Macaca fascicularis: one gene and its partners. The protein of the gene in region 2 interacts with the protein of the main gene of each other region in a pairwise test. Links are inferred from orthologs where the notes say so. Each region holds a gene or a part of one and is shown on either strand. Other genes may lie near its edges.

Region 1 (6,369 bases), on a different chromosome or scaffold from region 2:
CAGGCGAAACAGGGCCTGGTGGAGGGAGGAATGCGTAAGGTGGAGGAATGGGGAAGGGCACCCGCCCCCGCACTGGAGGGCCAACCCCTGCACACAGCGGACTGGCCCGGACTGGGGCAGCGCCGGGCTATGGACGCAGACGCCGACGATGCGCACCCCGGGACGTCCGCATGTTCTTTTCCCCAAAACTAGTGCGCTCTAGCCTGCGCCTTTCCTCGGAACCTAAGGCGAGGGTATATTTCGTTGCTTTCTTTAAACCTCAGCACGATCACAGTGGCTCCGAGCCGCGGGTGGCTGACCGCGGGCCTCGTGGGCTACTCCTGGTAGGGGCCTGCGCGAGCCTAAGGTGTGTGCCCGCCTGGGTTAGCGCTGCGCTCTGCGCTGTTTCTTTTCCTCTTAAAGCTTCTTTCTCACTCACTCTCTCCCTCCTTCTCTCTCTAATTTTTTCCCATTTCTCTCGTTCTTTATTCAGCTTTCTCTCCCTTTTGTGAATGGGCCGCGGTGTCTTTGTTCTGGAGAGAAGCGCCCGTGTCGCTGACTTTTGTGAACCAGAGAAGGATCTTGTAAAACCTCCTTTTCTCCTTCGTACGCCCCAACTCCCACCCCTCCTCCCCTGCCCCTTTGATTAGATGTTCCCTCATCGTCCAAAAAAAAAAAAAAAAAAAATGTAATTTCGTTGGTCTGGCGGCCACTTTCTTTGAACATTAGCTCGCTTTCAGCTCCAACTTCAATTAGAAGGAGTTGATTTTGAGAGATCAACAAAAGAACCGACCAAAGCCTTATTAAAGGTCCTAAGAAGATCTCCCGGGTCCTTTGAGAAGCAGTTAAGGAAACAGTGTGCCCTCCATCATATTCTGTTACCGTATTTTATTCGGACTCCAAAGGAAAGTGTCGCTTGGGGGAGGGGGAAGCACTTTGATGAGCGGCGGCCGCGGCCCCTTTTCACTCAGCGGGCTCCCCCTTCCTTCTCCTCCTCCTCACCCAGCGCCCTGTCTGCTCTCCGCGCCCGACCCCGCAGCCTGGGCAGCACGGGTGCTCCCCACTGCGATGCGCCTGGAGGCTCCTTGACTCGCCCTCACACTTACTCCTGTGCAAACTTTTTACCCCGCCTGTCGGGGTGGGGGAGTGGGGAGATTAGAAACAAGGGGTAGAAATTCCTCGAAAGGGAATAAAGTGCCTAATTTTCAGAAGGAGGTGCCATTTAAAAGATTCTCCTAGCTCAGAGTTGGAACGAAAACTCTTTTTTGCACTTTTAAAAGTCCACCCAGGCAGACGTGTTTGGGAAGTTTGTTCCACTGGGAAATGGGCTTCGCCCGTACGAACAATCCGGGGAAATCGCCTCAAGGAGGCTCCTTACGCAGCATGTGGAAAAAAGTTGAGGGCAGGGGTCTGTGGCCACATTTTCCATCAAAAAGTCCCTGTTAGAGGCAGACTAGGAAAGAGAGAGAAAGAATGAAAAAGAAACTTTCCTATCAAAATGTTTGAATTAAGAAGTAGGGTGTACATGTGAGGGCAAGAGGACGCTGGGCTCCAACGTTTCAGAAGAAGCGCTTAAGGCTTGCAAACACCCTTGGTGGGGACCGGGAACCCCGGGAGATGCCGATGAGCAGGTAAGTGGCTGTGCCCTCCCAGTGGGTGCTCTTCCCAGGCGCGAGAGTCCCGAGGCGCCGAGGAGAGATCTGCACGCCCGGAGCTGCTCCCGCGCTCTGCAAAGTAGCCTGCGCCGGCACGAGCCGCCCGCGGCGTCGGTCTCAGGTGGCGGTGCAGAGGAAGAAAACGCTGGGGCCCGCGGCGCCAGGAGAGGGGCCGAGGCCCGGGCTCCTCCAGCCCGCCGCCCCCGGGTCCTGGCGCCCACACCCGGGCGGCTGAGCCCGGTGGCGCGCAGGAGAGCGAAGGAACCGGTTCTCCAGCACCTCTCCTCGTCTCTGCCACTCCCTCCGGAGCGCCGAGAGCGCGAGAGAAGGGCGGGGGCGCCCAGGGAAGGCCTGGAGACCCGCGGCCCCCTCCGCGGCCAGGACTCGGGCTCTCCGCTCGCCTTCCTCGCCTAGCTCTGAGCCGCTTTTGCCAGCCGAGTCCCGGAGTTAGCGCGCGACCGGGGCGGGGCGGGCGGGAGGGGAGGGCGGGGTGTGGGGGGCGGGGGAGGGCGGGGGCGCGCGGAGGTAACCCCCGGCTCGCGCTGCCATTGCCCGGCTCCCTGTCACTCAGCCCGCGCGGGGCCCCCGATTGGCGGCCTAGCCCCGTTACGCACTCGCCTCGCGTTCACATACCCGGGGAGGGCAGTAGAAAGGTGATCAATCTTCATCAGGCTACATTTCCAATCACCTAAACAACCGAGCAAGACAAGCCACTCCGACAAGGTAAATCGCTTGATTTATTTAGTTTGCAAAGTGACTCTGCAGGACTTCCCAGTCCCCACTGCCTCCACGTTGCACCGGGAGTGCCGCGGTAACGCCGAGCCACCTCCCAACTCTGCCCTCGAATTCCCCCCCTTGCGGCCCCTCGGCGCGATTCCGGGCGAGGCAATGTCCTGCCTGAGAACGTGTGGGGCTTAGCAAACAAAGTGTCTGTGCAATAAAGTGAAACCCAGAGGGACACGCACAAAGCCACTGAAAAAAAAAGATAGAGGTGGGAGGAAGGAAGTTGGGAAAAGAAAGAAACCCGGGGTCCTAGACCAGCCGCCGGGGTAATTCCTGTGCCGCTCTGTTTTGCAGGTTGGCTGCCCGGCGGGTCTCTGTGAGAGATCCAGGTAGATGGTGAACGTCCCCGGCAGCTGAGGGCAGGTAAGGAGAAAGCCGCGGGACCATCCCGGACTCCGGGAGCGCGTTGGTTACCCTTACCTCCCCCTCCTCAAATGGATCCCCACTTCCCCGGTCACCAGCAGGTGGGCGGGGCTGGGGGAGCGGCCTAGCTCCCCTCTTGGTGAGCCGAGGACCCCGGGGCGCTGTCGCGGCCCGCCGCTCCCTCCCCCGCCTCCTCCGAAGTAACCAAGCTGAAGTGCTAAGTTTGGAGAAAGTCTTTGAAAACTCACGCTGCAGCTTCGCAAAGCCGTCGCAGCTTTGAGTCCCATTTTTCTTCGGCCCTAGAGCCCTGGCTGCTTCTCTTCTCGTCCCCTTCCTACAAGCTGGACTCCCTCAGCCCAGGTCTTGGATCCCAGAAGACCGGGGTGGGAACGGGGCAGGGGGGAGCTTCTTTAGCTCTAACTTCTCTCCCTGAACGTCCTAGCCCGAGTCCCTGGCCTGCTTCACAGCGATCCCGCTAAGCGGGGTGTAGCAATGGCCCCCCAGAGCCCCAGGCCCAGTTTCCAGCGCCCCTCCCTGACCCCTGAGAGTGCCGCCCCGGGTTCCCGGCAGCGGCGGGGGCGAGGCTTCCACCTCCCAGCTCGGGTCTGCGTGGGCTATGCCGCTGAGGCCTACTTCTCTGTTCTCGACCGTGTCCTGGGGCCGCGGGTTCAGCTACAAGGATGACAGCACGGGACTTGCTGCCCTCCGGCTTTGCAAATCCCCGAGACCCTTTGAGGTGCTAGGTCAGTCACCCTTCACCCCCTGCTGGGACCCTGTGGTCCGCAGCACAGACTGGACAGAGAAGGCCGGGTGCGCGCTGGCAACGAAGGACGCTGGCCGCAGCTGAGACGCTCCCGACCTCAGGCCGCGTCTTGGGGTCGCCCCCCTCTACAGTGGCCTCTTCGGCGTCCCCTGGCCCTCTGCGAGGCCTGGGCCGGTTACTGCGGTTGAGGTGTGGTGGGATTTCGCGTCAGCGATCTTTCAGTGGCTGGGCACAGAGAGGTCAGCTGGAATGGTGATTGCGGGCTCTGGGGCAGGGGCGCAGCCCTGGAGACCTTTGAAGGAACCAAGTGTCCTAAGTGGACAAGAGGTTGAGGTGCGGTTAGCCCTCCACATTGCCTCACCTTGGCCCTTTGTAGTCTCTACCTTTTCAAAAACACGTGAAACAAAATGAAACAACCCCTCATGCTCCGGGAGGCCTGCCGTCCGGGCACCAAGTGAACGTTTGCTTGTGCAACATGAAGCTGGCTTCTGCCGGATTCAGAATTTTGCCTGGACTTGGGAGCTTGCACACTCCGCGGTTCTTGCTCTGACCTCCCCAGCCTGGCCTGGCTTTGACTTCTCCTTACTCCTATGGACTCCCTACCAGTGTCTTTGGCTCATTCCAACGCTGGAGCCAGACGACCCAGAAAACTTTACTTTTCAAAGCAACTGTGGTTTCTGGGCTAAGGCCTTGTGGATTCCAGTTGACCACCCTGCGCAGTTCTGTAACCTGCCTTCCCTGTCTATCCCGGGGCAAGACTTGGCAGCCAAGTGGCTCCGATTGATGGTTTCCGTGTGTCTCGTGTCTTCATAGGCCAGGCCCCCAGACGCATCAGACCCTGAAGGACTGCGGTGGGAGCCCTGCACCGCTTCTGGCCCCAGGTCCCCTGGATCCGTCGGGGCGCCTCCACCCAGCTGTTAGCATGATGTCTTACCTCAAACAACCCCCATACGGCATGAACGGGCTGGGCCTGGCTGGGCCCGCCATGGACCTCCTGCACCCATCCGTGGGCTATCCGGGTGAGCACCAGCCCTCCCGACCCTGCTTCAGCCTCTCCAATGTTGGGGCCCCCCAGACTGTTGGGTTTGAGTGCAAGCTTTGTTGCCGAGCAGGCCCAGGGAGTCAGCTATTGCAATACAGGGCCCACTGCCTGTTTACAATACAGGGCCCACTGCTGGCGCACGGGGCAGAGTCGTGGGCATGTGAGGTGGCCAGGGCTGAGAAAACGCGCAATGTGCGCCTTCCTGGCCGGGTCACCGGCAACCTTTCTCCTGTTGTGGTCCCACCACCAGCGCAGAGCTCATTTACCTGCGGATTCGCTACCCAGGGGCGGCTAGTGTTTTTCCTTTTCCCCCAACATGGAATGAGTAATCTGGACACTCGTTAGGCCCTGACAGAAAGAGCCAAACTTTCCTTATGCGAAGCGGCAGGCTGGACTGAAGGAGTATTCTTCCTTCCTAATTAAATTGTCCTCTAAATTGATGTCCTGCATCCGTTTTTGCACTGCTGTAGAGGACGACCTGAGCCAAACCCGGGGTTCTTTAGCTCCGGCTCCTTTACCCCATTTATTTTCTCCGAAAGTGTTTTTCAGGTCGTGTTTCTGCCTACCTCTTCCCCACTCCCTGTCCCCTAGCCAGAGAGAGAGAGAGAGAGAGAGAGAGAGAGAGAGATTGTGTGTGTGTGTGTGTGTGTGTGTGTGTGTGTGCGCGCGCGCGCGCGCGCGCAGGGGAGGGGGAATGTGGAAGAAGGGAGATTGTAGACTTCTCTTACTTTTTTTTAACCTCTGAGAGGCATAGAGAGGGGCAGCCCTTGAATCTTGGAGACACTGGCTTCTAGTCGCACATCTGCACTTTCTCCCACCTGTGGCCTCTCAGGCTCGGCCGCCCGAGGGAGTGTCTTTTATTCCCAGTTCGGCTTTCTCTTGCGAAGGCCGAGCTCTGGGCCTGCCAGGGGCCTGCCCGAGTGCTCTATCGCTGGTCCGCGTGGCCACCAATGACCCGCGGCGCCCCCGCGTGTCCCCGCAGCCACTCCACGGAAGCAGCGGCGGGAGCGCACCACCTTCACGCGTTCACAGCTGGACGTGCTCGAGGCGCTCTTCGCCAAGACTCGCTACCCTGACATCTTCATGCGGGAGGAGGTGGCGCTCAAGATCAACCTGCCGGAGTCCAGAGTCCAGGTGCGCACTCCCCGGGCTCCAGGGTCTGGGTAGGGGAGCTGAGACTGCTCGGGGAAGGTCTGGGAAGGCTCTTGAGGAGTTCTTGAAGAGACCGTCCTCTGGGGATGGGCTTACAGACTGGGCAGCCCCTCTCGGACTCCCCCTAGCGCTGGACCCCAGCCAGGAAAGGGGGCAAAAGTTAAAGGAAATGGCTTAGAGCCCTGAATTCCGCCCTTAGCCCTAGAGCGCCTTTCGTATCGGTATCGAAAGTACTTTTCAGAATTGCGGGAGGACTAGGGAGGCTCCCGAATGTAAAGCGCCCTGCAGGCCTGACACTTGCCCCTGCTTCTTTGCCTGCCTCAGGACTTGGCAGTTTCCCTCAGAGGCCTGAATTCTGCCTCTGCCCTTGTCTTCCACCCCGGGAATCCTAGAAATGGAAGAGCGGAGATTGGCCGGAGCCTGGTGCTCTGCCTGTGTCTCATTAGACGCTTCCTCTGCTTACAGAGGATGCCAAGTGCAAAATCCTGCTGCCGGCTTTCTTATTTCTGTTTTTGAGATGAAAGGGTTCCGATGATAATGTTCGGATTCTAACTCAGAACTCTCCTCAAGAGCCATTTGTTTCGCCTCCTTTACTGGAAGGCTTGAGAAAGGGGACCAGGAATGCAGTGCCA
Region 2 (5,592 bases):
ATGCCCGGCTAATTTTTGTATTTTTAGCAGGCGCCCATCGCCATGCCTGGCTAATTTTTGTATTTTTAGCAGAGATGGGGTTTCACCACATTAGCCAGGATGGTCTCGATCTCCCGACCTTGTGATCCGCCTGTCTCAGCCTCCCAAAGTGCTGGGATTACAGGCGTGAGCCACCACGCCTGGCTCTTCATCATCTCTTAATTCCCGCTTTCTCACAGTTCTTTTCCAACTTTATTACATACAAGGAAGAGAAAGAAAAGCTCAAATTAATGATCAATTCTATTAATAAAAATTAGGCAGGTAGACATACTACTTTCTTGAAATTGTATGACAATTTCACTCATCCTTTCTCCTAACTTGCAAAGACAATTGGCTATACTCAAACTGTGATGACAACTCAGATCAATACCTGCTGTAACTATTAGGAAAGAAAGGCAACCCAATCCTTTTTATTAACAAATTATGATTGTACTTTACATTTGCCTAGTACTCTAAATACACTATACCTATTTAATCCTCAGCTCAATCCTAGGATATTGTTTTATTTACCTCTCCTAACAATCAGAAAGTATTATTCTTATTTTATAGCTTAGAGAATAGGAGCACTACTAAGTTAAAAAAAATTTTTTTCTTAAAGGTCACAAAGCTTGTCAATAATTGGCAAAATTATTGACGGGATTCTCACTGACATCTTCTGGCCTGAAGCCAAAGTTCTCCACAGCAGGCCACCATCTACCCAGGTTAAGTTGCAACACCTGGTTTTCTCACTCTTCATCCCTGGCACAAATGCAGTAGGTGCTCAGCAAATATGGAGTCTGATTGGGGGCAATCTCAACCAAGCTGCAGAATCTGTTTTATGTCCTTCATATGAGACCAAGTTTTTCTGACAACTTTGACTATCATCAACTCCTCAGAATGACAGCTCTTTAAAGGCAGCAACCAATTTCCTTCTTCTCCAGAGTCCAGCACACTGGGTGCTCGTTTAAGTTCATTAAGTTCAGATATATGGAGAATTCAGAGTTCAAGTACATGTTTGTTGTATAATCAAACCACAGAACATTCTTCTTTTAGCGATGGCAACGAGTGCTTTTCAGCCACTACCATATAAAAAATTAACAAAAAGAAACATTTACAAAAAACCTCTATGGCCTACAACAAAGATTAGCCTTCAGGGCCTTTCCAATCCCCAAATTCTGCAATTCCATTATAGTCTACACCTGATTAGTTAAACCGACCACCTTGAGTACCCAATTCTGAGTACAATGCAACTGGGCTTGTCCGTGTAAACCCAACACAGTGTTCTTAGTCTTGCGGTGTGCTTCCAGGTAAGCAAGTTTATCTGACGGGCAAGTTCCCAGTTCCCAGAGGGAATGGCGATGGATAATAAAGTTGACCTGAGCCACAGTGGACTTGCTCTTATCAAGACGTTGTGTCGTAAAAATGAGCTATATTAAGATAAATCATGCTGACTTTTATTTTCCTCAAGAATACACTGCTGGCTGCTTGGATTTATTTATTTATTTATTTATTTATTTATTTATTTATTTAAACTTCAAATTTGTGTTGCTGTCAACAGCTGAGCAAGTTTTTACCCTGTCATGGAAACTATCTGGCCATTTTTGTACTGTTCTGTATGCTGGGAAGGGAGATGAGTAGAGCTTGCCAGAAAAGAGTTCTAAGCTCGGTTACTATGCTGTCCTGTAACTTCAGGGACTTGTGAATGTTCAGTTTGTTCCTATTTGTTGCTTTTGTATAGCATGTTGTGACCTGGCTACAACCTTCCTGGCTACCTATGTCACAGGGCTGTTGTAGGAAATTCACAAAAAGTTTTGTGGGCCTGTTAAAAAGAGCATTCAGCAAAGAATTGAGGATGTAAAGTTAAGTATCACCAGCATTACGTTTCCTGTCTGAATTAATCTTTTCAAAGAACTCTGAGATCTGAGGTTGGCAAATTCACTAAAAAGGCAAAGAATTACTTTAGGTTATTTTTACAAATTCAGGCATCCTAAAAATACTCTTTTTTGATGCCTTGATCAAGAGAGAAGAAATTTCAGAGAGAAGAGGCATAGAAATCCATCTGTAGTTCTACAAGTAGCCCAATTTCAGTATCAATTTATCCACTCACTATAATAAATATTAAATACATACAATATACAAAGTATTAAGCTAGATACTCTAAGGATGAAGAATTATGTAAAGGATGTTCCTATATTCTGCTGTATTACAAGTACACTGTAAGATGTAACTTTTGTTTAGATTTCCTTCCCAAATAAGTAAGCAAAGTTTTCTAGTTTCCCTGGGACAAAGAAGGTGAAAGAACAAAATAATTTTTTCATCTATTATGACTTTCTGGATTCATAGAAACATTTATTTTAGAACATTCTGGAAGACTTATCTATTAGTTTCTACTGATGAGTAGCAAGCAAGAGTGACTGAGCTACAGAATGGCTGTGACTTCCAAAGATAACCTGATTAAATCTGACATGCATGTGACATGGGGGGAGCAAGGAATCCATGTGTCCTTCAATTTCAATAAGAAGAGTTAAAAATGTATTATCAAAGGAAGAAGATCACAATCGTGTGGTTTCGAAAGCAGACCAAAAATGACAGGACAGAAATATTCCAAATAACTTGGAATCCAAGTCATTTGGGTTTCCTTGAATGCCCTGCCATATTAAATCACGTATGGCTCTGTAATGAAAGGAAAAGTTAAGGCCTGTCTCATGCCCCATTTCTGCCACTGACTGAGCTTGAGAAAGAAAATTCAATCTTTTAAAGTTATTCAATGAAAGGCAGAAATAATGAAATAAGCTTATTAATGTGGGGTAGAAGATGTCTTGAGCAATCAGCCAGTGTCCTTATCCAATTAAGTTGAAACAGGAAGCCCCAAATTTCCTTAAAGTTTTGCTGGTATTAGTTTGCTAGACTGACTGTTCCAATATATAAATTCTTTGTGTGTGTTTACTTTTCCCCCTAGAGTTATGGCTAAACTGAATAGAACCAACTTCCTAAGATCTGCTTCTTTCACTTTTAATATCCTATTTTTCCAAAGCCACCGAGCTGATGTCCTTCAACAAATGGATTAAAGTGAATGCTGAGAACCAGCTCTCATGTCTGAGCATGGAGAAATAAAGGGTTTATACCCAAGGCAACTAGGGGCATACTCACAATGGTCAATGTCACATTAAGGAAATCTGTAGTACATCAAATGAAATTCTGAAGTTATGATTCTGTTCAAGCTGAACCATCTTTTGGGACAGCCTATTGCAAACAAGATTGCTGTATTTGGAATTCTGACACCAAGAACGCCTAGGCAACCTCTTCACAGAAATGGAAAATAAGACTCAGCCAGCTCCATGTCCCGTGGTGTAACCTCACATGCAGCACACGAACGGTTCTTAGTTATTATTATTTTTAAATGAAAAGTAGATCGACTTACATGGCTCTCTGGCAATGAACTGAGGTACAGTGTTGGGCAGAGGAGTACTGGGGTTTGGAGTCCCTACGAGTTTGTTCTTGGCCATCTTCGTGTTTGCCTTAGCAAACTCTAGTCGTAGTGTTTGCGGAATTTCAGGATCGAAGCGGATGCCCTTTGGAAACAGAGAACAAATGGAAGATGTTTTCATTTCCTTAGAGTCAAACCGGAATGGTGACAAAATAAACACACCAGTAAACCCTGGTCTATCAGGAAAAAAGGTCAGCAACCACTGTCATTCTTACTACTTACACAGGTTACAGGAAAAATGACAACACAAAGTGTCCTGAAAGTCAGTGGTATTTAATTTACTTAAAAAATGTAGTTACACAGATTTTCAACTATTCCTTTTCTTTTTAGACAAAAACTTTCCAGTTTAAAATTTGAACCAGGAAATTCCTAGCACAGTTATACACTTTAATGTATAGTAATTTCAGTTACCTTTGACCCTATTCCTGCAGTTTACCTAAAACAGATTATATTCAGTAAAATAAATCACAGACACTATGAAAGACAAGTTAGGGCAAGACAAGTCTATTTGGAATCCTTCCACCATTCAAGAATGTCTTCATTATTAAGCATCCAATACCATGAATTCTGGACCCTACATGTCAAAAAGCTATCCCAAGAGAGTGCATTTTAAATATGCACCCATGGGACCCACTCAGTTCCCATGTTTTCATGGTGGGGTCTGGAAAGGGACTGGAGTCCTGAAAATGAGTCTCCAAAGACCACAGTTGCCATTTAGTGTTCTGAATGTATACACATGGGCCTGAGGGCTCCAAAGCATCCCCCGTCCCCTCGCCACCGTTCTTCCTAATGAGCTTGAAAAAAAATAAGAGCAGGCAGGGTGCTGTGGCTCATGCCCTAGCTCATTCCCGTCATCCTAGCACTTTGGGAGGCCAAGGCGAGTGGATTGCCTTAGTTCGGGAGTTCAACACCAGCCTGGGCAACATGGTGAAACCCTGTCTCTACTAAAATATAAAAAAAAAATTAGCTGGGCGTGGCGGCATGTGCCTGTAATCCCAGTTACTTGGAATGCTGAGACAGAATGGCTTGAGCCCGTGAGGCAGAGGTTGCAGTAAACCAAGATCGCGCCATTGCACGCTAGCCTGGGTGACAGAGCTAGACTCTGTCTCAAAAAAAAAGAAAGAAAAAGAAATATCCACAAAAATAAGACTCTCTTACTTTAGAGACCAGGATGAACAACTCAGAACTTCAAACTTCACAGGCTCAGCTTCAAGGATACAAGGAAGAGCCTGTGGCTGGATAGTAATGGCATTAACAGGAAATAAGGGGTGAAGGGGAAGGAAAGAGAGGTCCTTAGGGAGGCCTAACAAAAGCCACAGAGCCCTGACCCAGAAGTCTTGGAGTGGGTGGAATTTCTTCCCGAGCATGACTCACTCATTCTGAGAAGAAACCAATTGAGGGCAGTAGCAAAAGGGATGTGGAGGATACCCTTGTGCATACCTAATCAACACCGAAAAGTGAACAGATAGTGCCCATTCTGGGAAACATAAGAACATTTTCTTTAACTGGTGTTGTGTTGTTTTGTTGTTTTTTAAATTTGGGAAACCTCAATACTATTTTGCCCAAAAAGTACATAAGGAAAAACAAAAACAAAAAGCAAAGCTGCATTGTGAAGCAGGCTGAGGTGAGGTCACAAAGGACCTCACTGAGGTGGACCAACTTCAACCCTAACAAAGCTAATACTACAACAGAATAAATATTTCCAAGAATGGAGGTAAGAACTGTGGTCTCTGCTGGGAGACAAGCACAGTCCCTGGGTTTCAAGTACAGGTATGCTGTGGAAGGACTTGCTCAATCGCATCACACTCCATCAGACACACATAGTAGCAACTTGCCATCAACTTCAGGACGTCCTCCCTGGCACTAAACCTGACCAACCTTCCTGTGAAGAAGCAACTTTCCTAAACCTGAGCTCACATTAAGATAAGTCCTGTGGCCCAGGCCACTGGGGATAACATGAAGAGTATCCTGGGACCTGGTCGTAGTCTAGAGCATCTGGCCTCAGAAAATGAGGCTGTACATGTGAATTCTATGCCTCGGTTCTTTCTCTGGTGGTTCCAGAATCAACTGAAGCTCCACATAATGTG
Region 3 (6,056 bases), on a different chromosome or scaffold from region 2:
GCATGAGCCACGGCTCCTGGCCTACAAAAAATTTTAAAATTACCTGGGCATGCTGGTGCACTCCTGTAGTCCCAGCTACTCAGGAGGCTGAGGTGGGAGGATCACTTGAACCCAGGAGTGGGAGGCTACAGAGAGCTGATTGCACCACTGCACTCCAACCTGTGCAACAGAAGACTGTGTCTAAAAAAATTTTTTAGGCCAGGAGTGGTGGCTCATGCCTGTAGTTCCAGCTGCTCAGGAGGCTGAGGCAGGAGAATGGCGTGAACCCGGGAGGCGGAGCTTGTAATGAGTCCAGGTGGAGCCACTGGACTCCAGCCTGGGCCACAAAGTGAGACGCTGTCTCAAAAAAAAAAAAAAATTTAATAAAAATATTAAAACACTGCTTTAAAGATTATTAATCTTGAACACTGAGGGCTCTCACCCTTACTTGCCAAGGTAAGGAGGCTGGGGTTCCGGGTCCATTTTACAGATGGGAACACCCAAGGCCCAAATCAGTTGCATTCATCCAAGGGAGCAGGCTGCTTAGTGGATGACGATGATGAAAAGACTGTGTGCTCAGCACCTGCCAAAGGAGGACCTTAAAGGAACAGCCTATTTCAATGGCCTCTTTGGGGCCCGTTCTCTGAATGGCAGAAAGAGGGATACTTTCATAACCGCCACCAGGTCCCATTCCTCCTCTTCCCACGGCTCTCCAGGATTCCCACCTCACTCAGAGCAAAAGCACAAGTCTAAAGCCAGGTGCGGTGGCTCACACTTGTAATCCCTGCACTCTGGGAGGTAGAGGCGGGAGGATCACCCAACGTCAGGATTTCAAGATCAGCCTGGCCAATATAGTGAAACCCATCTCTACTAAACATACAAAAATTAGCCAGGCATGGTGGTACGCACCTGTAATCCCAGCTACACGAGAGGTTGAGGCAGGAGAATCACTTGAACCCGGGAGGCGGAGGTTGCAGTGAGGCAAGATCACGTCACTGCATTCCAGCCTGGGCAACAGAGTGAGACTCCATCTCAAAAACAAACAGCTGGGCAAGGTGGCTCACGCCTGTAATCCCAGCACTTTGGGAGGCCGAGGCAGGTGGATCACCTGAGGTCGGGAGTTCAAGACCAGCCTGACCGACATGGAGAACTCTCGTCTCTACTAAAAATACAAAATTAGCCGGGCGTGGTAGCACGTGCCTGTAATCCCAGCTACTCGGGAGGCTGAGGCAGGAGAATCACTTGAACACGGGAGGCAGAGGATGTAGCGAGCTGGGATCGTGCCATTGCATTCCAGCCTGGGCAACAAGAGTGAAACTCCGTCTCAAAAGCAAACAAAAAACAAACCACCAGGTCCCATCCCTCCTCCTCCCACAGCCTTCCAGGGCTCCCACTTCACTCACCCAAAAACCCAAGTCCTCCCCATGGCCCACAAGTCCTTGCTGGACTGGCCTGCTTCACCAGCTACAGAGTTAGCAGGGCCCAGTGCAAAAGAAAACTGAAAGGCCCCTTGTTCAAAAATGATTAGGAATCTCAAAATGCAGCACTAAATATTAACCCAAGCACAAGCCCTGCTGAGGAGTGGGGGGGCCTGGGCAAATGCATGAAGCCCCAGGCCCTGCCTCCCTCCGGCCTTCCTGACCTCCGCCCTGGCACCCTGATGCCAGGCACAGTCCTGCCCCAGGGCCTTTACACCTGCTGGTCCTGCCTCTGAGTACCTCTGTACCCCATCCCCCTGTTCTCTCTCCTTCTTTGGGTCGTTTTAGGGGCGGAGGAAGCTCTCTCTGATCCTCCCTGCCACCTGTTTAACTTTGCATCTTCCTACCCTGCCATCCTCCCGGCTGGTTTTTCTGCAGAACCGTCCCCACCATCTGACCTGCTGGGAATTCAGCTTGTTAATTTGTCTCTGTCTGTCTCCAGGCACCACCACCAGAGCAGGGACCCCCCACCCCCGCCCCCACCACAGGGCCCTGGAGCAGCAGGCCCTGGCACACAGTAGGCGTTCTATAAATGTGTCGCAAGAATGGCTTCCCTGAGAAAGGCGGCATTACCGCTGCCTTTCTGCAGAAAAGGAAACTGAGGCTCAGCGAGAACCACCGCCCAGCCAGAGCCAAGGTCACAGAGCACGTCCGTGGCACGCGTCCAGGTCGTGCCACGGCAGGGCTGGCGGCTTCGACGCGGGCAGCCGGGTCCCTTTTCTTTGACAGATGGGGAAACCGAGGCCCGGCCTGCTGCCGGGTTGGGGGGGGTGGCGGGGGCCGCGGCCCGGGGCGGGGGCGGGCGGGGCCCAAGGTCACCGCGGCGGGCGGGCCCTGGGGAGGCGGGCCGGGGTGGGGATCCGCAGGCCTCCCCGGGCGCGCGCCTCCCCCCCCTCGGCGGCGCGCACGGGGCACGGGCGGCGGCGGCAGGTGGAGCCGGAGCCTCTGCATCAGCCGAGCCGCGGCCACTGCCGGCGTCGCCGCCATTAGACAATAGCGGTGGGGCCGGGGAGCGGGGAGGCGGGCGGCGGGGAGGGGCGGGGAGGGGCGCCGGGCGCGCAGGAAGCGGGGCCCGGGGCGCGCCGGGGCCGGGCGCGCGGGGAGGGGGCGCAGGAAGCGGGCGAGGCCCGGCGCGGGAGGCGGCGGCGGCCCCGGGAGCTGCCGATCGGCGCCGGGACAAAGGCGCGGCCGCCCGGCGCCCCCAGCAGCCCGAGCCGGGGCGCACAGCCGGGGCGCAGCCCGCGCCCCCTGCCGCGACTGACATGATGTTTCCACAAAGCAGGCATTCGGTAAGCGGGGTCCGTCCGGCAGGCGCCCCCACCCCGGATCCCGGCCCTGCGCTCCCCACCCCCGGCTCCCGGCCCCGCGCCCCCCACCCCCAGGCCCGGTGCCTCCGGCCCGGCACCCCCCCCAACTCCCCGGCCCTGTCTTCCCTCTCCAGCTCCAAGCCCGGCGCGACCCCCCTCCTGCCGCCGGCCCCCGGACACCCCCCAGTTCCCGATCCACCCCAGCTTCCGGGCCCCGAGCCCCCCCGTCCCAGCTCCCGGCTTGGCGCCCCCCCCCCTCGCCGGGACAGGCAGGGCCTCGGACGGCCTTGGCCTCGGGCCTGGGGCGCTCCGGGAGCCCCGCCAGGCACCTCTAGCGCGGGGATCCTTTGGGGGCCTGTGGTGGGGGGGCGATCCGAGGCGCACCCCTCCCGGAAGAGCGCGTCCCCGAGGAAGGGCGCTGGGAATCTGGGGTGGGCCCCCCGGGAAGATTTCGGGCGCCGAGAGACCCCTCCCCCAAGAGGGCTTTGCTGGGAGGACTCGCTGCCCCCCAACTTGGGGAGGGGGCTCCCTAGGGTGCGTATCCACCCCCCTCGGATGTGCACTCCCTCCCGGCGCTTTGGAGGGGCGGTAGAGGGCGCACCCTGCCCCCCATCTAGGGCAGGCCTTAAAACGCACCCCCACTGCTTGGAGGTGGCGGGGGTCGGGGCGGCTCCGGGCGCACCCACCCTCTCGGCTTCCCCCGGGAGAGGCGGGGGGCAGGAAGCGCGGGTGGGGGCCGCGCCAGGGGCCGTAAACACGGGCCCAGGAAGTGGGGCAGGAGGGGGGGCGCCGCAGCTGCGCGGCCGCTCCCTCCCGGCTGGCCCTCGAGGGGGGTCCAGCCCAAGCCAGGGCCTGACCCGGGCCGCCCCTTCCCCACAGGGCTCTTCGCACCTACCCCAGCAACTCAAATTCACCACCTCGGACTCCTGCGACCGCATCAAAGACGAATTTCAGCTACTGCAAGCTCAGTATCACAGGTGAGCTGGGGGGCCGAGGGTCCCTGCGTCCCGAGAAGGTGAGCCCCCCACCCCATTTCTTCTGCGCAGATGGCAAGGCTGAGGCCTGGAGGGGAGATTGGGAAAATAATGTATGCTAGACTCTGACCTAATACTTGACAAATAGGGAATTCATTTTTTTTAAACAGCTGCATTCTGTGGAGGACAAAACTGAGGCACAAAATAAGTTAAATAATTTGCCCAAAGACTCAGCTGTGTGGCTTCAGAGCCCCTCCCTCCTACCCAATCCCCCCAAGTCCCCCCTTGGATAAAAGACAATTGGAGTTAGGGCACAGACTCGCCGTCCCCCCAACCCCCAAAACAAACATTTTGCAGCCTGGTCATCTCTCTTTGCCCAGTTTTGGAGAAAGGGTTCCCAGCATCAGTCAGATTCTCCCAGGTGCTTCTTTCAGAAATCTCCTGGCGTTTCTGAAGAGCTTGCCATGCTGTGGTATCTAAGGGGAAGGAACTATTTAGTCCTTTTACACTTAAAGAAATTTAATCCCAGGCCGGGTGCCACCGGTGGCTCACGCCTGTAACCCCAGCACTTTGGGAGGCTGAGGCGGGTGGATCACTTGAGGTCAGGAGTTCGAGACCAGCCTGGCCAACATGGCGAAACCCCGTCTCTACTAAAAATACAAAATTAGCCGGGTGTGGTGGCAGACGCCTGTAATCCCAGCTACTTGGGTGGCTGAGGCAGGAAACTTGCTTGAACCCGGGAGGCGGAGGTTGCAGTGAGCAGAAATCGAACCACCACACTCCAGCCTGGGTAACAGAGAGAGACTCGGTGTCCGAAAAAAAACAAAAAAAAAAAAAAAGAAGAAGAAACTTAAGCCCAGAGAGGTTATTTCCTCGGGGATGTCCGTAGCGTTGAGGAAGTGGCAAGGCTGAGGTTTGCACCAGGTCTCTCTCCTGGTTTAAGGTTTAAGGATACAGATTTTCACCTGCCCTACTCTGGAGGGGCACGCCGGGCCTGGGAATCTGGAGGAAGTCAGGCTACGCTCAAACCCCCGTTTGGCCTTGGGGCCCTCTCCAAACTGAAGTGTGCCCACCCCAGAAATGTTCCTGGAAGGATCCTGGATTCCCTCCAAGTAGAAAGGGGAATCTCAATTTTGTTGTTGCTATTGCAAATATCCAACCTTTTTGGGTGCTCCCTGTGTGCTAAAGACCATACATGCCTCCTCAAGCTTCATCTTTCTTGTTGTCCGACTGTCGTACCCATTCTCAAGATGGGCAAACTGAGACACTGACGGTCGAAGGCGCTAGAGTCGGCTTTCCACGCAGGCCCCAGAGCTTTTGTTCGGGTCCCTCGATGTGAAGGGTTAGAGACCGCCTGGTGAGCCCTGGGGCTGACCTGATTCCACAGGGAAGGGATCAGATGGCGGTCACAGTGCTGTGTGACCTCTGCTAAGCCGGAAGCCCTCTCTGAGCTTTGGGGTCTCCATCCGCTGGGCCTGCGCTTCCTGCTACCCAACGAGGGTCCCTGCCATACAAGGCACGCACCAGATGTTCGAGGTATAACAGCCACTGGGTGGCCGGATCACCCTATTTTTCAAGAAAGACCAGAAATCCAGGGTTTGAAGTGAAACTGTTTTTGTTGTTTTTGTTGTTGTTTTGTTTTGAGACGGAGTCTTGCTCTGTCACCAGGCTGGAGTGCAGTGGCGCGATCTCGGCACACTGCAACTTCCACCTCCTGGGTTCAAGCGAATCTCCTGTTTCAGCCTCCCAAGTAGCTGGGATTACAGGCGTGCACCACCACACCTGGCTAATTTTTGTATTTGCAGTGGAGATGGGCTTTTTTTTTTTTTTTGAGACGGAGTCTCGCTCTGTCTCCCAGGCTGGAGTGCAGTGGCGCGATCTCGGCTCACTGCAAGCTCCGCCTCCCGGGTTCACGCCATTCTCCTGCCTCAGCCTCCCGAGTAGCTGGGACTACAGGCGCCCACAACCGCGCCCGGCTAATTTTTTGTATTTTTAGTAGAGACGGGGTTTCACCGTGGTCTCAATCTCCTGACCTTGTGATCCGCCCGCCTCGGCCTCCCAAAGTGCTGGGATTACAGGCGTGAGCCACCGCGCCCGGCCTAGATGGGCTTTCTTTATGTTGGCCAGGCTGGTCTCGAACTCCTGACCTCAAGTGAACCACCTGCCTCGGCCTCCCAAAGTGTTAGGATTACAGGCGTGAGCCACTGCACCCTGCCCCAATTCTTTTTTTTTTTTTTTTTTAATGGTAGCAACAAATGCACGTTTTAAAAGAAACCTAGAGAAAAGTTGGTGGCGGCCAAAGCATCCTCAACCCGGCA
Region 4 (6,264 bases), on a different chromosome or scaffold from region 2:
CCTAACCTACAAAATACCGTAACGTACCAGTTGTTGTGGTGCTTTTTTAAAAAAACCAATCTGCTTTCTCTTCTGTAACATAGACAAAATATTAATGCATTTTTTTTTTTGCTCCACTAGTAGTTGACAAAGAATTGTTATTTGTTTCAAACATAAGGTTAATTCTAACAGTGATGAAGTTTGAGAGGATGAAATTATATATCACTGACCAATTAAACTATCTCTTTTGTCTTTTGGCTGCACCTAACCATTCCAGACTTTCATTTGTCTATCTCACAAAATCTTTTTGGAAGGAGATTTTTTCATCTTTCCTTGGTAACATATTTCAGTGTCTCTCAATCTTTCCATAAAAGCTAAGTTATTATTTCTGTTTAACCTCAGTTGCACCTGCTGGAGTGTAATGTCACTATCTTTTGTCCATCAGTAGCCTTATTATCATATATTGTTAGTGAGAGGCAATATAGTATAATGGCATGGTTTTTGGAATCAGACATGCCGGCATTCCAATCCTAGCTCTGTTACTTTCTAGGTGTGTGATCTTGGGCAAATTACTTCTGAGGTTTAATAGCCTCATCTGTTAATGAGTAACCTCAGAGCATTGTTGTGAAGATAAAATGAGATAATATCTTATTCTGAAGGATTATGGGGTAGGACGAGGTATGGTACTGGGCACCTAAAAAACATTCAGTACATACTATAATAGCTATTTATCTGATTATGTGCATGTATCTGACTTAATTCATAAACTCTTTGAGAGTGGGAGGCATACTTCCTGCGCACGCCCTGGATTTCAACAGAAGTATAGTGTTGTGCACATAGTATGGTGCAGAGGCTCAATATTACTGAATGAATAAATTGTTTTGTTTTTATTCCCTGAGTGGAATGAACAGCCCCCAGCTATCTGCAAGATCCCACGCATGTAGATAAGAGGTGACAAAAATCAATCTGCAGTTTTAAAATATGCAGATACCTGACTTTATCTAGATGTTCTAGCATGGTGTAGATACAATGCAAATAACTTACGCTTTCTATCAGGTTCATTTCTACAAATTTTAACATTTATTGTCATTATTTTTATTATTAAGCTACACTTAGGCACCTAGAAAGGGACTGACTCATATGCCTCCTCATCCATCCAAGCATTTAATTGAGAAATTTTTAAAGTGAATATTAAGAGCTAATTATATACTTAAACAAAATCTTTCAATTTGTGACTAAGTACATTACCTTCCCTATTTATCTCTAAGATCTGAGCACTACAGATAATATTCCTAATTGCTTTTTACCCAAGCCAAGAAATAAAAACCAAAACCAGAAAAGTCCACCACTGCAAGTCCCAAAGCACAATTAATATCTTTGAACCAGTGAAGTATTAGTTAGGACTTTATTTTTGGCTTTTTAATGTTTACAAACGGCTAGGAGGGTAAGTTGGGGGAACAAGTACAAGATACATCGATTCAATCGGACTTGAATATTTCTCCATAAGGAAAGGAAAGAGTACCCTGGTGTGTGCTTAGGCTGGAATTAAAAAGAGCAGCGTGGCCATTTCCCCGACTGCTTTGTACATACTTAACAGGGGCGGTCTCAGGTATGGAGCTTCAGGCACCTGCTCGCTCACACTCCAACAGTTCAGAAACCCGTGTATTTGAGGCCGGGTGGCTCAGGTTCCACGTAACTGGGCTTAAGTGTCATTAATACTACTTGCAGCGGGGGTCACTGAGCTGTGCTTTGGGACCTGGATGCTTACTTCGGACTTTCTCCTTTCTTCCCCCCTGCCCCCACTAGTTTCCCTTTCCCTCCTTCCTTCCCGGGCGTGCCCACCTCTTCCCTTAGCTCCCACTTTCCACTATCTGACTCTTGTTTCCTTCACCTTCCTTTCTAATCGGCTTCCTGGCTTCCATCCTCTGCCGGCCGCAGAGATTGAGATTCGGGCTGGGGCTGGGGCTGCGGCTCAGAAGAGGCACGAGTCCGGCGGGACAGGCGCGAGGCGCCCAGCCGCGAAAGCGAGGAGCGCGCACCGAGGCGGGGGCGCGCGCGGGGCAGCCGCGTGGCTAGGCAGACGGGGCCGGGAACGGCGCGCGCGCGCCCCGCCAGCCTCTGGCGCGCCCCCGGCGGCCTGGGCCGCAGCGTGCTCGCCCCCGCCGCCAGCTCGCCTCACTTATGGGTCGGAAACGCTGCGTGGGGGAGACTGTTCCAAGATGGCGGCGGGTTGCTGCGGGGTGAAGAAGCAGAAACTGTCCAGTTCGCCCCCCTCTGGCTCGGGTGGCGGTGGTGGCGCCTCCTCCTCCTCCCACTGCAGCGGAGAGAGCCAGTGCCGAGCTGGGGAGCTGGGACTAGGAGGCGCCGGTACGCGGCTCAACGGGCTGGGAGGTCTAACCGGAGGAGGTAGCGGCAGCGGCTGTACCCTCTCTCCCCCCCAGGGCTGCGGCGGCGGCGGCGGGGGGATCGCCCTGTCGCCACCTCCGAGCTGCGGAGTGGGGACCCTACTTTCTACCCCGGCCGCCGCCACCTCTTCCTCACCCTCCTCATCGTCCGCCGCCTCGTCCTCATCGCCGGGCTCCCGGAAGATGGTGGTGTCAGCAGAGATGTGCTGCTTTTGCTTCGATGTGCTCTACTGTCACCTGTACGGATACCAGCAGCCCCGGACCCCCCGATTCACCAACGAGCCCTAGTGAGTACCGTGCCCTCCGCCGCCCTCTCCCTTGCGCTCGGGATGGGGCTCAGAGTTGAGGCAAAGTGCGAGTCCGCCTCCCGGCCGGCGGATGCCCCTGCCCTCTCGCTGCCCGGGTCCCCGGAGCCACTCAACTGAACTAAGGGCACCCTGCGCTTTTTGCCCTCCGAGGCAGGCACCCCACACTTGGAGCAGGGTGCTGCTGCAAGGGATGGCCCCGTGGCTCCTAGAGGTGTTAGCTTTCTCTTTGCGATGACTTCGAGGAGTTTTGACCCCTTTACTTGTCTTCTTCACCACCCCTACCACCCCTCACCCTGCCCCGGTTTTGGAGATCTGGGTTACTCAAGGTGTTGACCTCTCCTCACTTTGGTTTCCGTTACCCCAAGTGAAAGCCCCGCCAGTATTCCCGCCCCGCGTACCTTGCACATGGAGAACTACTATCCCATTGCAGGGCGAAAAATAGCAAGTATCCAACTTCTGTTAGTGATGGAACTTAGCTCTGGAGCTTGTGAGGTTACCCATCTTTTCCTCTGGGTTTCCTTGTGCCCTGGGAAGGGGGGAGGTTTCTTAAAACACATTTTCCCTTACTACTTATTTTTATCCAAATACACCCATTAAAATGTGTTTCTCGTGAAGCGAGCGCACTGCCGGCTTCCTCACATTTGAAGAGTGAGACCTTTTTTTTTTTTTTTTTTTTTTTTCATTCCACTGTCTGGATAATAGCTCATTCAAAGAGAACTGTCCCCACAGAGCCACTGTCAGTTTGTACATTAAGCGTGCATTCGCTTTTGTGTCGATTTCACTTTTTAAGAAATCCATGTTATACTCGATGATTTGAGAACAGTTAAATAGTAAATGTGTAGGAATTGTTATGGTTTCCTTTGGTTTTGTACCTTAAATTATCTTACCCTTCAAGTGTGTGGTTGAAAATTTTTAAATAGCACTGTTACAGCTAAAAGCCAGGTTAATTCTAATCCCTGTCCATTTGCATGTGTGGGAGATGGGGCATATGGTTTTTTTTTTTAATGTGTAAACTGAATGTAAACTGACTTTTTGAGTTAAATGCTAGACAGAATGTAAAGACCAAGAGAGGGCAGAATGAGAAAAAGTGCAATTGCTTTTATTTGAGTACTTAGCATCAACAAGAAAAATAATACAGGAAAAATTTCAGTGAAACTCGTACTGAAAGGCATCACCCCCTTTTCCAGCTAAAAGTGCCGCTTGTCCCCCATATCATAAATACCTTAATTGATGTTCTTTTAAAACTGCTTCATTTTGTGAGATTAGAGGATTGGACTACTATTGTATAAGTATAAACACTTCTGCCTAGACTAAAATATTAATATGTAAAGTGGAAATTACAATAAAGTGTCCTGGAAATTGTGCATTTGTACTGTTTGTTTTATTTGGCTTTTATTCTTTAAATGTCTTAATTTTGTATGACTCTTCTGTGGTCTGTGCATTTTCTTTTAGACTTGGTTAATCTTTGGGCATTGGTTCATGAGAAGTGCATGAAAGAGCATCCAGGAGAACACTTTGTCAAACAAATATCTTTATAAATTTCATAGTGTTAATTCTAGAAGCTTAAATCCTAAGTCCACACCTTTATTTAGCCAATTAATTTTTTTGGTTAAGAAGTAAAATTGATTTTGAAAAGACTGCCATGTAAAAAAATCTATGAAATATTTATTAGCTTGAGTCACTTATTTGTGACTTTTCTGCCTTCTCTTGGATGTCTTTGATATATTAAAGCTAGTCCTGGGATGATACTTAGGTTGGCTCTGCAAAGTCATGGGACTGCAAAAATTCACTCCTGTTTAGTTCTTGAGCTGTTACATGAGTTTGGCAAAGGCTGCTTTAGTATTCACGCTCCATTGCTCCAAAGCATATGAGAACACACTTTCAGGAGGTGCTATTTTCACACATTTTAAAAGTGAGTTTGGGTTAACTCAATGACTATAGCAAGAATTTTAAAAGGAAAGTGAGCTTGACCAGTTCATACAGAAAATGCTTTTGAAAATTTCATTTTAACAGTAGCCACTTTGCACACATATTTAGATATTATTCTCTTCAAACACCCCAGCCCCTGGATTTCTTTTTCATGGAATTAAGCAGATGATAGGACACACTTTTGACCGCTGTGGATATGTTGAAACGGTGGTGGAAGAAGAATAACTATTATCATTTAGCAGACCTTGAATGTGTCAAGTATTCTATAAAATAACTAATGTAGAGTAGACACTGAAGATGACCAAGTGGAGAATGAAAGTTCACTTAAGTGGAAAATGGACTGTCTTATTTCCATATATCTTCAACTCATTTTTGAGGTGTACTGTGGAAAATTCAGGAAAGCTTCCTCATTATGGGAGGGAAATAACTAAGCATTTCAACAGTGCCTTAGTAAGTACCACACATTTGTCTTTCTGTTTTACATATTTAACAGCATTGTGTACTTATTAGTATTGCTTTATCCTAAGTGCCATAAGACATAAACAGACATACTGGGATTTTTTTTTTTCTCCTAGTTATTATCATGTCATGAGCAGTGTGTTTGCCCACCAGATGTTGTGCTTTTGACAATTTTAACTTCTCATACATAAATGCACACTCTTTTCATCCCTTCCCAGGACTTTTCTCTCAGAATGTCTGTAACTGGTGAAATCCTCATTTTATGGGTTTAGAAGCTCTAGATCCATCAGTTAGTTATCCTTCCACTCAGTATTGAGGGGATGTCAACATATGAACAGGCTGTCTGGATACAAATTCTTCACTGTTGCTCCCATTTTTTGATTACCTACCCAATTGCAGAAAGCATTGTACAGGCAAGTTTGTGCACAGAAATCTGGTTAAAGACATGAGGAAAACTTAACTTTACTGCATTTTGATATTCAAAATCAGCAGTCTTGGATTTATGTCAGGGAGCCCAGAAAGCTATTTTATAGGAACCTGTTTGCTACTATAAAGGGATCCACTGTGCCAGGTGTTGAGCTAGTTAGACTCCAGAGCAGTCATTCTTAACTTTGGCTGCACATTGGAATCACTGGGAAGTTATTAAAAATATTGATGCCTGAGCCCCAACTCCAGAGATTCTGACTTAATTGGTCTTGGATGGGGCCTGGGAATCAGGATTAGTAAAAGCTCACCAGGTGAGTTTAATGTGCAGCCAAGGTGGCGAACCACTGGTTATATTCTGAATCTTTCTCTTGAGATTTGGATAATTGGGGCTAGGGTAGTGCCTTGGAATCTGTATTTTATGAGCACCCTAAATTTCAGTAAACAACCGATTTGAGAAACTCTTGCATTGTGGTCTGCAGAAGACATCACCCGGGAAATCATTACAAATGTAAGCTCTCAGGCCCCGCCTCAGACCTGCTGAATTAGAGTCTGCATTTTAACAAGCTTCTCAGGTGATTCTTATGCACATTCAAGTTTGAGAAGGACTAGTTCTCAAACTTTGTAGTACATCATAATCTATGGTGCTTGTTAAAACACAAATTGTTGGGCCCCATTCCCAGAGTTTCTGATTCAGTTGGTGTGGGGTGGGGCTGTGAATTTGCATTTCTAACAAGTTCCCTGGTGATGCTGATGCTACA

What was found.
Region 1: the proteins of RBPMS (region 2) and OTX1 interact in binary tests that used the Homo sapiens proteins (3 or more experiments, as listed by UniProt). The two-hybrid records come from large-scale screens. The link is inferred for Macaca fascicularis from reciprocal best matches to the Homo sapiens genes RBPMS and OTX1.
Region 3: the proteins of RBPMS (region 2) and TLE5 interact in binary tests that used the Homo sapiens proteins (3 or more experiments, as listed by UniProt). The two-hybrid records come from large-scale screens. The link is inferred for Macaca fascicularis from reciprocal best matches to the Homo sapiens genes RBPMS and TLE5.
Region 4: the proteins of RBPMS (region 2) and AMMECR1 interact in binary tests that used the Homo sapiens proteins (3 or more experiments, as listed by UniProt). The two-hybrid records come from large-scale screens. The link is inferred for Macaca fascicularis from reciprocal best matches to the Homo sapiens genes RBPMS and AMMECR1.

Annotation. Positions count from the first base shown.
Region 1 is NC_088387.1:58,899,838-58,906,206, reverse strand, and holds the start of OTX1 (homeobox protein OTX1), read left to right. Parts: upstream 1-2,289; 5' UTR 2,290-2,357; intron 2,358-2,711; 5' UTR 2,712-2,780; intron 2,781-4,356; 5' UTR 4,357-4,465; coding exon 4,466-4,562; intron 4,563-5,567; coding exon 5,568-5,719; intron 5,720-6,369. UniProt on the Homo sapiens protein: Probably plays a role in the development of the brain and the sense organs. Can bind to the BCD target sequence (BTS): 5'-TCTAATCCC-3'.
Region 2 is NC_088382.1:33,702,794-33,708,385, reverse strand, and holds part of RBPMS (RNA-binding protein with multiple splicing), read right to left. Parts: intron 3,591-5,592; coding exon 3,440-3,590; intron 1-3,439.
Region 3 is NC_088393.1:3,761,780-3,767,835, reverse strand, and holds the start of TLE5 (TLE family member 5), read left to right. Parts: upstream 1-1,976; 5' UTR 1,977-1,989; coding exon 1,990-2,217; intron 2,218-2,356; exon of another isoform or gene 2,357-2,719; coding exon of another isoform or gene 2,720-2,746; intron 2,747-3,026; exon of another isoform or gene 3,027-3,298; intron 3,299-3,643; coding exon 3,644-3,741; intron 3,742-6,056. UniProt on the Homo sapiens protein: Transcriptional corepressor. Acts as a dominant repressor towards other family members. Inhibits NF-kappa-B-regulated gene expression. May be required for the initiation and maintenance of the differentiated state.
Region 4 is NC_088395.1:116,899,473-116,905,736, reverse strand, and holds the start of AMMECR1 (nuclear protein AMMECR1), read left to right. Parts: upstream 1-2,184; 5' UTR 2,185-2,198; coding exon 2,199-2,671; intron 2,672-6,264.